2 linked regions of the Cricetulus griseus genome follow. The protein of the gene in region 2 interacts with the protein of the main gene of each other region in a pairwise test. Links are inferred from orthologs where the notes say so. Each region holds a gene or a part of one and is shown on either strand. Other genes may lie near its edges.

Region 1 (7,443 bases), on a different chromosome or scaffold from region 2:
TTGCAGCTTGATGACAGAGATAAATATTTTAGGAAAACAAGTGAAGACAACATAATTTGGCACCTTTATATAAATACAAAGTCGAAGGGAGGGTTTTGTTTGGTTTAGAGGACAAATAAAAAACTTAGGGATGAAAATAGGGCAAGAATGAAAATTAATGACAAAGAACAATAGGGGTGTCGCAGGAGCCAGGATGTTCAGGGGAATTGTAAAAGGCAGAAGGACCCTCAATACATAGATAGGTGCTCAGGGAGAGGGGACAGCAATCTCTTCTGACGAACATGTGTGGGCCTTCTGATACCCCCTTCCTCATTTCAGAAACCCACAGTCAAACATCCTCACAGTGTAGAAGGCATCTCTGTCCATGTAACTTACTGAAGCCACCACTGATGTTTGACACTTGTTACAGCAAGAGACAACCTCATTGAAATGGTCCTGTTTGGAGACTCTCTTTATTAATGCTTCTTCAAGTGAGAATCCGATTATGATGATATGAGGAAGTTGTGCCATGCTGTGAGGTGGAGTGAAAAAGCACAGCTCCAGAAAGAGCACAAATTCATGACCATATTGCAGAGAAAAAAAAAACAAGCATAAGTGCTCACTCCTGTAAATCCTGGACATTCATAGAAGACCCTGCCAACATGATGGTCCCTGAGAAACCAAGCCTGAAAGGGACAGAGAGGCTGGGACTCAACTCTGTCCTCTAGTGGTTGTAAATGATTCTGAGCCCAGGAGTCAAGTCCAAACAGGAAACAGGATTGAGTCAGGCTGAAGTTTCTGTCTGCCAAGGCACTGGTGGCCTCCATAGCCTGACTGACAGCAGGCAAAGGAGAAAGTCTGGTAGGGAGGGGCTAAGGAATAAAGTAAGTTCTGCTTCCTCGGGGCAGATCAGATTCAAGTGGCCTAGTGGGAGGTCATCCAGGATCCACATCAGCATGCCCTGGGGTGAGAGGCATAACGAGCTGCACACATACCCTGGACATAGTGCCATGCTGGCTCTGCTACTAATAGGGCCTACAAACTACCTAACACATCCCCTTTGCCTTGGAAGCCAAGCCATTCTTTTGCCCCAACTCCAGGTCCAGTACATGGGGAACAGAACAGTAAATGCAGGTGTGGGGCTAGGAGTTTCTGTATCCCCCTGGACAAGGAACCTTGGTGGGAGTTCTTTTAATCAGTCAGTGCTGGAGAGTACATTCAGAACCAATGCCAGAGGAAATGCATTATTGCCATCATTATCCTCTGATAAGTAACAGCTCCAACCACTTCCACAGCCACTGCCAGAGAATGAAAATGTCCTCACCCACCCAGAGGTTTCTAACCTCCAAGTTCAGCACTCCTCATAGCTCCTTATGCTTGACTAGATCCTGTGTTGGATATCCTCAGAAATATCTGACCCTCCTAATGCTACAAGAGACCCTGGGTCCCTAAATGCTTTTGGCAGTTCACTGGGTGGGTACACTACTCCCAGTCATTAGCCCTTCACTAGCTTCTCTCAATGGTGCACCCTCACTCTCAGTCTCGGCCTCTGACTCTACGTAATTGTGTAATTCTTATTCAAGTCCCTGTCCTCTGCAAGGGTCTTCTGCACTGGGAAGAAGAGAATCAAGGGCCCACACACCATAGCATTTAAACAGCCAGAAAGTCTGTCTAGCCACAATTAATTCAGTGTCTTGGTTTTTGTCTGTGCTGCCATTAGGCATGCTGTGTCTCACAGACAGGCAACAGTGTGTATCAAGGCCTCCTCCAGAAGTTTGACCTGGGCGCTGGTAGGCTGGGCACAGGGGGTGTGTGCCTGGCATGGTTGTTGTGCCTGCAGTAGAGTTTCTGAATAGGCTAAGGTCACAGACTGCAGTGCACTTCTGACCAACAAGCAGGGGGTAGCCTCCTCCAAGGAGCAACGGAACCCCTTTGAGACACCAGGAACCTTTGTCTTAAGTCTTGAGTCACTGTGTTAACCTCCCCTGTAATCACATTCCCATTGTGGAGTTTTGGTTGGAAAGGAGAGTTCAGAAAGGTCTACGTGGTTCTTGGCCCCAGATGGAGAATAGGGCAGGGCGGACCTTCAGGCGATTGGATCCGGATGAGAACTGTACTCACACACACAGGGAGTGGCGGGGGAAAGGGGGTCTGGCTGCCTTCATTCGAAAAAAATCATTTTTGCTTTCGGGACTCATAGTTTACGAGGTCCGCCTTCAAGTATACACCATCTTATCTATTTTATTTCCTGGACTGAAAGGCTACGTCGGCCCTCCCCAACTCATACGTGAATATGACGTTTTTCAATGACGCCTCTCCCTTATAGGCTTTTCTTCCCCAGTGGAATTCAAGTTCATAATCGCTTGTCTACATAAAAAGCATGTAATTAGTGCCTGCTGATCCCTGCTCGGGGAAACCGGCGTGTCTTTTGTGGATCTATGGTTCCGAGATAGCCAGAGAGCGAACTTGAGCATCCGAATGCCCTTTCGGCCTAGCCTCCTGAAGGGGGTGGTAGAGGTTCAATCTCAAGAGGCCCTAGTCAAATGGTTTTAGCTTCTGCGCTCCAGCTCCTGGCAGGATCGCACGGCCAAGAGCCGCGGGAGTCTCTTCTGATGCCCGGGCTAGAACTACCAACATTTTTCCGGCTTCCGCAGAGTAGCAGGCACAACAAATACACTGATCTTGCAAACTACCCGCCGAATCCCGGGAGACTGGCATGTCCCTTGCGCGACCCCGTAGTCACACCACGCCCTCTACTCATTCCCAGGAAGTGCGCCGTAGCAGCGGAAGTACACACCACCCGGGGGTTGTGGGAACCGCAGTTCCGGGATGGTGGGCGGCGGTGAAGGCGGTGGCCGGGTCGGGCTTCTAGAGAACGCCAACCCCCTCATCTATGAGCGCTCGGGGGAGCGGCCAGTGACGGCGGGCGAGGAGGACGAACAGGTGCCCGACAGCATCGACGCCCGCGAGATCTTCGATATCCACCACTGCTGGGAGCTGGCGGACGGTGGGGGTCTAGGGTACCGGGAAGAAGTGATGTGCAACACGGTGGTGGAGGGGTGTCCCGGTTAGGCATGCCTGCGGAGGTTTTGAGTGGGCCAAAACTTAGAGTTCCTTTTCCTTCACTTGGCACATCTTATTCGCTCCATTAATGACCCGGAGCATCCACTGACGCTAGAGGAATTAAATGTAGTAGAACAAGTTCGGATTCAGGTGAGTGTCAGAATGTGATAGCTTATCCAAAGTAGTTTAAAAGGTCCCATTATATGTTAAGAGGCTGGCGTTCTCCATTCACAAGCACCTAAGAGGATCTTTGGGCGGGAGGTTGTTTTTTCCAGTTTAGGTAACTTGCCCAAATTTTAGTAAAGAGAGGATTTCGGTGCTAGGGGCGGTCGTGTAATCTTTATAATCTCCTTGTCAACACAGGTTAGCGACCCTGAGAGCACGGTGGCCGTGGCTTTCACACCCACCATTCCACACTGCAGCATGGCCACACTTATAGGCCTTTCTATCAAAGTCAAGCTTCTTCGATCCCTTCCCCAGCGTTTCAAGGTCAGTTGGAGTCCAGCCTAAGGGTGAATGAAACAACTACTGAGGAGAGGGGACATCAGAGTGGAGACTGGAAGGATCCCAACTCGCAGAGACGAACTGCGAGGAAACGTCAAGCTGATTTGACAAGAATACTGGAAATACTCCAGAAAATAGTGAGGAATGTGGTAGAAAGGGCAGCTGTAGATGGGCTTGATGGAGGCACTGGCAGACCTTTAAATCAGTAGCAGCTGACAAGGCCCTTGGGTAGGTTGACTGCAGGTGGACTTGGGGTGGGACGGAAGTGCCAGAATCGAGAGGCACGATTAGAAAGATGGGTGGAATGGAGGTGGTTTCTGGAGGGAAGGGACCAAAAAAGGATGAATAAGTGCTCAGGCCCAGGTTGTCTTTCTTCCAGATGGATGTGCACATTACACCCGGGACCCATGCCTCGGAACATGCAGGTTAGTGTGAGCTGGCGGGGAAGTTGATCCCCCTCTCCCCTTGGGCCCCAAACTGTTGAGACTTCCCCTTTGCCACAATAGTTTATAAGGAAGGTTAGGACTAAGGGGGGTGGGTGTCTAGGTGACTAAAGAATTACCAGACTACAGCCTAGATCAAACTGGCCTGACCTAAGTCTCCTCCTTCCCATGAGTTTCTCTCCCATATTCCCCAAGGACATTGTATCAGGTTTCTGGAATAGTGGAGGCAGGCTAAGTACTCCCTGGAGGTATGTAGTATTCCTGAAAAATAAGAGAGTATGGGCACAGTTGATAAGGAGTCCTGGGAAGGTGATAGGAGACCTTTATTGGTAGAGATATAATCTGTCCTGAGGCTAGCAGCCTGGCTAAAGTTGCTTTAACCCTCTTTTTATAACCCTCTTTCCTACCTAGTGAACAAACAGCTTGCAGATAAGGAACGAGTGGCAGCTGCTCTGGAGAATACCCACCTGCTAGAGGTCGTTAATCAGTGTCTGTCAGCCCGATCATGAGCCTGGCTTTTGACCACCAGCCTGCACACAGGTGTCCTGGCCTCAGCTCCACCAAGGGCTTGTGGCTTTGTTTTCTTGAATCACTGACAAGGAGAAACTAACATTTTTCATTTTGTAATAAACCCTTAATTTATATTCATTTCCCAGCATGCCTTAGCATCTTCCATGATGGAGTCATTAGGGGTTGTGGAGGGGAGAGTGGTGCCTATGAAGGATGTGTCCATGAGGTGCCCCATCATTTTTTGATTTCTCCCAGTGGGACTGCAAAGATGGCTCAGCAGTTAAAAACACTGCTCTTGCAGAGGACCTGGGTTAGGTTCTCAGCACCTACATGGAGGCCCACAACCATCTGTAACTTCATTTCCAGAGGATCCAATGTCCTATTCTGACCTCTATAAGCACAAGGCACACATGTGGTACACATACCTACATTCAGACAAATACTCATACACATAAAATAAATCAGTAAGCTGAGTGTGGTGGTGCACCTTTTAGTCCCAGAACTCAGGAGACTGAGGCAAGCAGATAATCTGATTTTTGAGGCCAGCCTAGTCTACACAGAGAGTTTTAACTAAAGCTATATAGAGAGGCCCTGACTCAAAAAATGAAAATAAATCTTTTTTTTTTTTTTTAGCTCTTCTAGTGCTTCAGTTAGCAAAAGTTGCAAATGAAAAAAAAAAAAATCTTTAAAGAAATATATAAATACCTGGATAGCCAAACCACCAATGGATTCAGTAGTTTCAGTTGACCTGTTGTGACACTGGCCTTATTTGTGTGTGTTTACAGAACTATTTCTAGAGGAACCTACAGAGACATAAAGAACTATGTCCTAAATTGATATAAGTCTGCTGTCTTAGTTTCTTTTCTGTTGCTGGGTTTTTTGTGGGTTTTTTTTTTTGTTTGTTTGTTTTTTGTTTTTTCGAGACAGGGTTTCTCTGTGGCTTTGGAGGCTGCCCTGGAACTAGCTCTTGTAGACCAGGCTGGTCTCGAACTCACAGAGATCCTCCTGTCTCTGCCTCCTGAGTGCTGGGATTAAAGGCGTGCACCACCAATGCCCGGCTTTCTGTTGCTGTTTTAAGACCCCATGACTAAGGCAACTTATAAAAGAAATGTTTATTTTATGGTTTACAGTTTCAGAGGGCTAGAGTCCATGATGGCACTGAAGTGACAAGGCAAGAGCTCACATCTTAATCCACTAGTTGGGAGTCAGAAAGAGAGGGACACTGGGAATAATATGAGTCTTTTGAAACCTCAAAGCCTACCCCCAGTAACACACCTCCTCCAATAAGTCAACCCCTCCTAATTCTTGCCAGTTCCACCAGCTGGAAACCAAGTATTCAGATATATGAGCCTGTAGGGGCCATTCTCACTCAAACCACCACCACATCTGTATAACACAGTTCTTTATCTGACCAAAAATTGAGCCATTCTGATCTGAGAATAATAGTGCATGCCTGTAATTCCAGGTCATCCTTAGCTAGTAGTAAGTTTAAAGTTAACTTACATGAGCCTGTCTCAAAACAGCAAAAAAGCTAATATCCAGTATCCAGTCACATATGAGTTTTCCAGAAACAGTACTTGGATCCTTCCCAAATTCTATATGTTGTATTTGGTTCTCTCTAGCATCTAAGATTTTCTCTCCCCTTCCCACTGGTAATCAGTTTTCCATAACTACATACATGAAGTAACTTATAAAGGAAACAAGTTTGGAGGCTGGAGAGATGGCCAGCAATTAAGAACATGTACTGTTCTTCTAGAAGACCTGAGTTTGGTTCCCAGCACCCATATCAGATAGCTCAGGACCACCTGTAACTCCAGTTCCAGAGGATCCAACACCCTCTTCTTGCCTCTACAGGCACTTAGCACACCATGTGGCATACACACATACATATAAATAAAAAATAAATTGGGTTTTGTTTTGATTTGCTTTTTTTTTTTTTTTTTTTTAGAAGGGGGCTGCAGAGATGACTCAGCAGTGTAAAGTACTTGTTCCTCTTGCGGAGGACCAAGGTTTGATTACTAGCATCTCCATGGTGGCTCACAAGCATCCATAACTCTAGTTCCAGGGGACCTGATGCCCTCTTCTGGCTTCTACAGGCACCAGGCATGCCTGTGATGCATAGGCATACATGCTGGCAAAATTCATAAAATAAATCTTTTTTAAAATCTTTGAAATAGATTAATTTTGGCTTACTGCTTTGGAGGTTTTGGTCCATTGTAATTGGTAGTGCTGTTTTGAGTCCTGTGGTGAAGTAGCACATTGCTACAAGAGTATATAGCAGAGGGGAAAAAAAAGGATTAAGACCAGCCAGGGTTACAGTCCATGCTTCAAGTGCATGTTCTTGAAGAGCTCCCATTAGACACCCCCCTGTCGCTCCACTTGGAAGAATAAGCCTTTGACACTTGGACTTTAGGAATGTTTTCAGATCCAGGCTATAGCCCCTACCCTTGTACATCTTAATTCTGACCTAATCCCCCCACCAAAAAAAAAAAAAATCCCAGAGGGTCCCACCATGTGGTGGTTCCTTGTCCACAGGAGGTTAGTCTAAAGGCCCAAATAAGCTCAGGTTTGAGGGGTTTGCCCAGGAGTGGTGTGTGTGCTGTGACACTTAACCTGTAGGTAGGGTACCTATTTGTCCACTGATGCTGATGCTTAGCCTAGTCCCCAGGTCAAAATAGTAATACTCATTTTCTCTACTGAAAGGATCCTGGGGAATCTTCATCATCCATCCTTCCAGGGGTTTGTGTCATCCCAGGATGCTGGGTAAGCGAAGTGAAGTTCTATAAAGTGATATGGCTGTGTCTGGGGCCTCTGCCTCCTGTTGGCCCTGTGCCCAGAGTGTACTTTGTCATCTCAGAGAGACCACTGGTCTTAGATCTTAGCCATTGGAAGCTCTTTCCCAGGACTGCCTCAGGATTTTCTGCTTCAGTCTCTTTCTCTGGTG
Region 2 (6,729 bases):
AAGGTGAGGGTCCAGGAGTCAAAGAGACTCTGCCAAGATATATGGTCTACCAAGATACAGTCTGTCAAGAATCTCAGTGTAACAAGGAAGGTCTCCAGAGAATCACTGAAAGGACCAGGGGTAGCTTTGTAGAACAAGGCCTCCAACCAAATTTGAAAAGGATATGTAGAATTTTTTTTTTTTTTTTCCAGACAGGGTTTCTTTGTCACTTTGGAGCCTGTCCTGGAACTTGCTCTGTAGATCAGGCTAGCCTGGAACTCACAGAGATCCACCTGTCTCTGGTTCCCAAGCGCTGGGATTAAAGGTGTGTGCCACCCGCCGCCACCACCCAGCTAGGTTTGTAGAATTTTTAGCAGGAGAATGTAATGCAAGAATTCCAAGTTGAAAACCTAGCAATAGCCACCCCCTCCCCCTAAAAAAAGCTGCTGAGAAATGCTGGCATATACCCTTAATCCCAGTACTCAGGAGGCAGAAGCTGGGGGATCTCTGAGTACAAGGGCATCCTGGTCTACATAGTAAACTCCAGGACAGCCAGAGCTACACAATAAGACCCTGACTCAAAAAAAAAAAAAAAAACAGAAAGAAAAGAAAACACAGCAGCATGATTTGGCTGATGGTGGGAATGTCTAAACAGAATATGAAGAACAGGATCCCTTGAAGCAAGGCAGAGAATTAGAAGAGAGGAGTAAAATAGGTTGGGTTGGCTAGTGAGTGGCCTTAAAGGGCAGATTAACTCATTAGATACAGCCTGTAGTGGAGCAGGGATGCTTCCTTCTCAAAATTAATTCTTGGGTGGCAACCCAAGTGTGTAAGGCAGGTAAGGAGGGTGGGAACACAGCTGGGACAAGGACTCGTTGATTGGCAATGAGATGAGGAAAGGCACATTAGGATCTCCTTTGCAATAGTAGAAGTGCTCAGGACACAGAATGCCTTGGGCTTAAGAGAATTCTGTCGCACAGGGGTGGCTTGCAGTGGCTCTGACCCCAGCTGGAAATGTATCTGCACTTTGTCAGGCTTCCACACCAGGACCATTTACGACGTTGCTTGGTAAGACCTCAGTCCCATTCCAGCAGGGAGTTTAGAGATGGCATGACTGCGTTTGTTCAGATTAGGCCTGCCATTCTGGTTTATAACTGGCTGGTCTGCGGTTCTAGGGGCAGCAAGCTGACTGTGCCTAAGACTATTTCTGGGATAAGATCCGAGGCTTTCTTTCCCTCTCTGAGGAGTGGGGTGGGGTGGGGTGTGGGGAAGGTAAGGAGAGCAGGAAGAGGGGAGTGGGAACTGGATTGGTATGTAAAATGAGAAAAGATTGTTTTAAAATAAAATTTAAAAAAAGATTTAAAATAAAAAAAGGATAGCACCAATCCTTAGGATTTACATAGCATTGGACCATCCTGAGATGATCATTGAATATATGCGTTCGTAACTGAGAACTTTGTGGGTTAGTAACTGACTCTTATGAAGACTAGAAAAGCTGCTCCATTCTTAGAAGAGTAGAGGTTAGAGGCCACTCTGAACCTGAGTCTTGCCGTACACACTTTTAATCCCAGCCCTCAAGTCCATAGAGGCAGCGGATCTCTGTTCGAGGTCAGCCTGGTCTACAGAGCCAGTTCCAGGACAGCCAATGTACATAGAGAAACCCTGTCTCAAAAAATAAAAAATAAAAAATAAACATTTCAAACATTCATAGCTAGACAACTAGAATTTTTGATGTTTTGTTTTTTTTTTAACTTACTAAAATGAATAGGCAGTTGAACATTCCAGATTCAAGTTTTACACAGTGATGGGCAATGGGGGAATCTTCAATGCTTAAAGTAAGTTCCTGACTTTAAAAAGGACTAAATTATGGTAAAACTTGTTAATGTCAATGTTAAAAGGAAGCTAAGGATGCCGTGACATGGGCAACTGCTTATGCTAAGTGGGGAAAGTGTGATTTGTTTGGTCTCATCTGTAGCTGGGGCAACCAGGTGGGAACACCTGAGGACTAGGGCCTTGGTTGGTGTGATAGCTTAGGAAAGCTTTTCTGTGGACACTTAAGCAACTGAGGAACACTTCTCCCTAATTTGCTAGGTTGGAGAGGCAGGAATCATCTGCTTACCCACTAACATGTATGTTCCTCCCAGGTGTCAGCTGACAGGGGCCCTGGCTACAGCCTGTGGGGATGATGCCATCCGAGTATTTGAGGAGGATCCAGGCTCAGATCCACAGCAGCCTACCTTCTCTCTGACAGCTCATCTGCATCAGGCCCATTCCCAGGATGTCAACTGTGTGGCTTGGAATCCCAAGGAGCCAGGGCTCCTGGCTTCTTGTAGTGATGATGGGGAGGTGGCCTTCTGGGAGTATCACCAGACTGCAGGCCTCTGAGCTATAGCTTGACTTGGCCAAGACTTTACTAGTCACTGAGGGGTCATTTAGCTTTATGCCTTTCTGTTTGGTTGTGTAGAAGTCACAAGACCATTCACTGTTTCCCTTCCTTGATGGGAGGGAGCCATGGAACAGAAGTATGTTGTATTGCACATTTTGCTTGATTTAGAGCATGGTGTTACATATTTTGAGGGTAAATATAGTATTTATAATCATTATGTATGTATATAGGAGAATGTGTTTGAGAGAGTTCTGAAATTTTGAGCTTTATAGAAATAATCTGTGTCCCACTTCCTGTTTTATAAATAAGATCATAATTCTACTGTTGGAAATGGGTCCCTTCTTCCCAATTTCTAGAGAAGTCCTTGCATTTAAGACCTGCAAGCCAGTTGTGTTTTCCTAGCACCTAGCACTCAAAAAGCAAAGACAGGATGATTAGAAGCTCAGGGTTATCCTTGAAGCTAATCTAGGGTATATAAGACCCTCTTTCAAAAAACAGACATTCAAAGTTTGTTCAGTAAAAGAACACCTCTGCTCTTCCTTAGAAACCTTCACGTGCCTCTTGAGACATGCTGTGGTGGCAACTAATCCCCCCCCCCAAAAAAATAAGAAAATTAGTCTTTATCGAGGGGCAGAAAATATTAAGACAATAGCTTGTGGCCCTCTTTAAAAAAAAAAAAAAAAAAACCAGCAGCAGGTTGGGATTATACACCTATAATCCACCACTCAGGAGGCAGAGGCCAACCTGATCTACAAAATGAGTTCCAGCAGAGGCCATGTCTCAAAAAACAGAACAAATGAAAAAACAAGTAAAAGGCTCTGTGTGTGTGTGTGTGTGTGTGTGTGTGTGTGTGTTGCCAATCTGGTGTTTTTCAGGGCAAAGAATAATTAGATGTCTAATAAGCCTTCTAAAGAGTGGTGAGGGTCGTCTCCAAAGCTGGAGACTTCACCTAATTTTTTGATACTGTACAATTGTGACCTTAGATTTCTTGGAAGACAGCAGAAGCAGTATCAAAAGCAGCGGTAGGTAATGATAGACAAATCCATGGGAGTCTTAGGACCCTTGCAAGGTCAATACCGTAACATGATCAAGGACTGGCACCAGTTAAATGGCCATCAGTCTTCACTATCTTGTTTCCACAGTAGGAATGGAGACACTTCACTTAGAAAGATGACTAATTATTGTTACACATTGACCCTTGGCAACTTCTCATACTGACAAAAGAGAAAATTCCATCCAGCCCCTCTGCAATGAAGTAAGGTGATCCTAAGGAAAAGCCATTGGACTTTTGTTGCAAGCCATTCATGGAATACCATTTTTATCAGAAAATTAAGCATTTAGGCTTGGCTATTTAATTGTGTTTCTGAAAAATGAACACATTGAACCTTTCACTAATAGTGTTCGCTGGTAATGGTAAATGTTTAAAAGACAGAATTTCTGAAAACTTGTAACAAACCTTAGTGGTAATTAAATTAGCAAATGAGTAGTGAATTGTGTGGATATCTTGAGATCTGTGGAATTTCATGGGTCATTCTCCAAATGGGCAATGTACTGATGTTGCATCTCAAAGGAGAGCCACAATTATTTGAAAACTTCTCTTTTTCTCTGAAGTTAACATGCTTCAGTTCTACCACACAACAGATGAGCATAGAAGTGGCTGGCTTCTGTTAAAGTAGATGTAAAGTGATTGCAACACTGTACCATGTTACCCTTCTTCTAGAACTTATTTTTCCTAAAATATGTTAATGAAATTATTTTGAAATGGACTGCCTTAATTTTTAATATAACAAGTATCAATGACTTTAATAACCTAGATAATAAAAGCTTTCAAAAAAAGGGGGAAAGGGTCTTGAAACCATCATTTGAAAACTGCTGGCCCTGGAGCAAAGTAAATCACCTTTCAGTGTTTTGTTGTTGCTTTTGTTTTATTTTGTTTTGGTTTTTTGAGAGAGTTTCTCTGTGTAGCTCTGACTATCCTGGAATTAGCTCTGAAGACCAGGGTGGCCTCAAACTCATAGAGGTTCACCTGACTCTGCCTTCCAAGGGCTGGGACTAAAAGCGTGTGCCACCACTGCCCGGCCCCCTTCCTGGTACATGTTAACCACTCCTAGTGTGTTATCTCCTGGGAGGGAAGAATTTCAGAACAAAGATAATGAGAAGCCCTATCTGTTGGCCAAGATGGAGTCAGCTCAGGCTGTCATACCACTAACTTTGCTCAGCAACACCCAGAAAGGAGGCTGAGGTCATTCGAATGCCCAAAGAGTAGCTGTCTGCCACTGTTTTGTTCTTCAGTATAGGACAAGTTTGTCCTCCACATTCTCAGTAGGAAGATTCATTGCTAAAATGAGTTTTTCTGGTCAGAGCTTTTGGTTGAAGAAAACTTAGTATCTCTGTTAAGAACAGTTTTTCCAAATTATTTATTAGAATGTCTGACTCAGGAACTACAAAAAGAATGCCTTCCAGCTACTGTACACAGTTTATACTTGACATGACACTTGAAAATACTGGACCCAGAGCTTGAACTGCTTGATCCAAAGTGGGAAAGATACTAGATGTGGACTGGGAACAGCAGAAGCCTGAATGGTCAGACCTCAGGCTAACAGACCGGATCTCCAAAACCAGTTCCCCCTGAACTATCCACATTGCTGTTTCCAGGTTCGATGCCCCTACACATGAGAGAATGCCTCAGATTCAATCTGAATCACTGTCTGTCTCAGCTTCTTTCACATCCACACTGAATTTATACTCCTGGTCACATCCCATGTAAGCATCACTCATGAAGTACAAAGTATAGTTGTGGCCACCTGTGGCTGGGGCCACAAAGTCTAGCTTCACCTAAAGAGAACAGGCAGAAATCAGGTTAGTGGGAACCTGGGGGGAGGCAATCCACCTGTCAAACCCCAGGGATAGATGTGGGATTGAGTGCACACACTCACCTTGGCTTTCTGCTGCAGGGTCAGCCTTTTGATGGAGATGAGGCTGTTGGACTTGGCATCCCCAATCACAACCCACCAGCCCTCTTCACGTTTCTACAGGGACCAAAACCAAGGAAATTGAGAATAGAAAACTCAATGGCTACAAGCAACTGTAAGAACAGTTACTAACAGAGTAACAGAACTCAGATTAAAGCTCTCCACAGTTGCTTCCTGAAACACAGTTTAGTAGACTTTTTGAAACACAACTCTTGGTAGAGTTTCTAAGCAGTCTAAAGATTTCCCACAAAGGACTTAAGTCTTCAAATAAGTAGATAGACAAATTTTTTCAGTTCTACTTCATTTCCATAACTCAAGGCACCTTTTTTTATTTGTTTGTCATTGAATCTAAAATGAATTATTAGAGATTTAGCCTTGGAGCAATGAAGCTTAAGAAGCTTATGTGCAAGGCAAGCTAGCTGAAAAAATCTTAATGTGGAGATGAACCTGCAACAGAGAGGGGCAAGCCTGTGGGGCCTCTTCTGACATCTCGTCTCTCTGGAGAAGCCCTCTCTGTTGGCCACAGTAAAACCAGTCTGCCCAATGGCACTTTCCTTAGAAACTTGAATAATTTGTCTACAGAAGTACATGAAGTTTATCTATCATCTGAACCCAACCTTCAATTCTCCCACAAAAAGGTGAAATTTGCTTTCTGTTGATTTAAAACATGCAACTAGAACCTGAGTGGACTAAAACTGAGGAAAGACCAAGTAGAAAAGTTCAGTGTCCTGAGCCATTTGTAGACAAATGTATCTCAAGAGTCAGAAAGAAACATTGCCTGATGTTTTTTTTTAACAATGGACAGTCATCTAAATTGTTTGAAAAAAAAGAAAAAGAACCCATGGTTCCGAGACTAATACTCAGCCTTATGAGTTCATTACCCCAGGCTACCATTCCTTGGTGGGAAATGTATCCTGTACCTAAGATCTAGCCAGTGAACAAGGCCTCAAATGGACTTAGGGCAAAGCCAGCTGCTAGAACATACCTGTGGGAAGAGTGGTGCAATAACAGGGCCTGTGACTTCCTCTTCTCGCTCCAGCTGCACTAGCACCACAACTGGCCCGCCACTGGTGAAAGCAAAACAACACATGAGTACTATATTTGTGGGCCGAGACCCCAGGGCAGGACTCCTGACACTTTTTGTCTCACCTGCGGATGCTGTCTTTATCCACTACTTCATAAGACAGTTCGATATTCGGGTAGCGGTTACAGAAGCGGGCTACATCTGCAATCTGGCTGTCAGTCAACTGAAGCAGTGCGTTCCGTTCTTCATCCTCCATCTCCATGATGTCAAAAACACTCTCCACTCCCTACAGTGGGTATGCAGAGGTCAGGGGAGCAGAGAACACATGCCACAAGCAAGTAACACTGGCTCTAAAGAGCTGCTCATTT

Evidence for each region.
Region 1: the proteins of Ciao1 (region 2) and Ciao2b interact in binary tests that used the Homo sapiens proteins (3 or more experiments, as listed by UniProt). The two-hybrid records come from large-scale screens. The link is inferred for Cricetulus griseus from reciprocal best matches to the Homo sapiens genes CIAO1 and CIAO2B.

What each region holds. Positions count from the first base shown.
Region 1 is NC_048596.1:180,904,825-180,912,267, reverse strand, and holds Ciao2b (cytosolic iron-sulfur assembly component 2B), read left to right. Parts: upstream 1-2,769; 5' UTR 2,770-2,808; coding exon 2,809-2,956; intron 2,957-3,112; coding exon 3,113-3,192; intron 3,193-3,405; coding exon 3,406-3,531; intron 3,532-3,925; coding exon 3,926-3,971; intron 3,972-4,400; coding exon 4,401-4,498; 3' UTR 4,499-5,336; downstream 5,337-7,443.
Region 2 is NC_048599.1:51,335,651-51,342,379, forward strand, and holds the end of Ciao1 (probable cytosolic iron-sulfur protein assembly protein CIAO1), read left to right. Parts: coding exon 1-3; intron 4-959; coding exon 960-1,047; intron 1,048-2,123; coding exon 2,124-2,364; 3' UTR 2,365-4,203; downstream 4,204-6,729. Other genes in the region: Snrnp200 (U5 small nuclear ribonucleoprotein 200 kDa helicase), read right to left, coding at 5,057-5,200, 5,302-5,394, 6,323-6,404, 6,487-6,647. UniProt on the Homo sapiens protein: Key component of the cytosolic iron-sulfur protein assembly (CIA) complex, a multiprotein complex that mediates the incorporation of iron-sulfur cluster into extramitochondrial Fe/S proteins.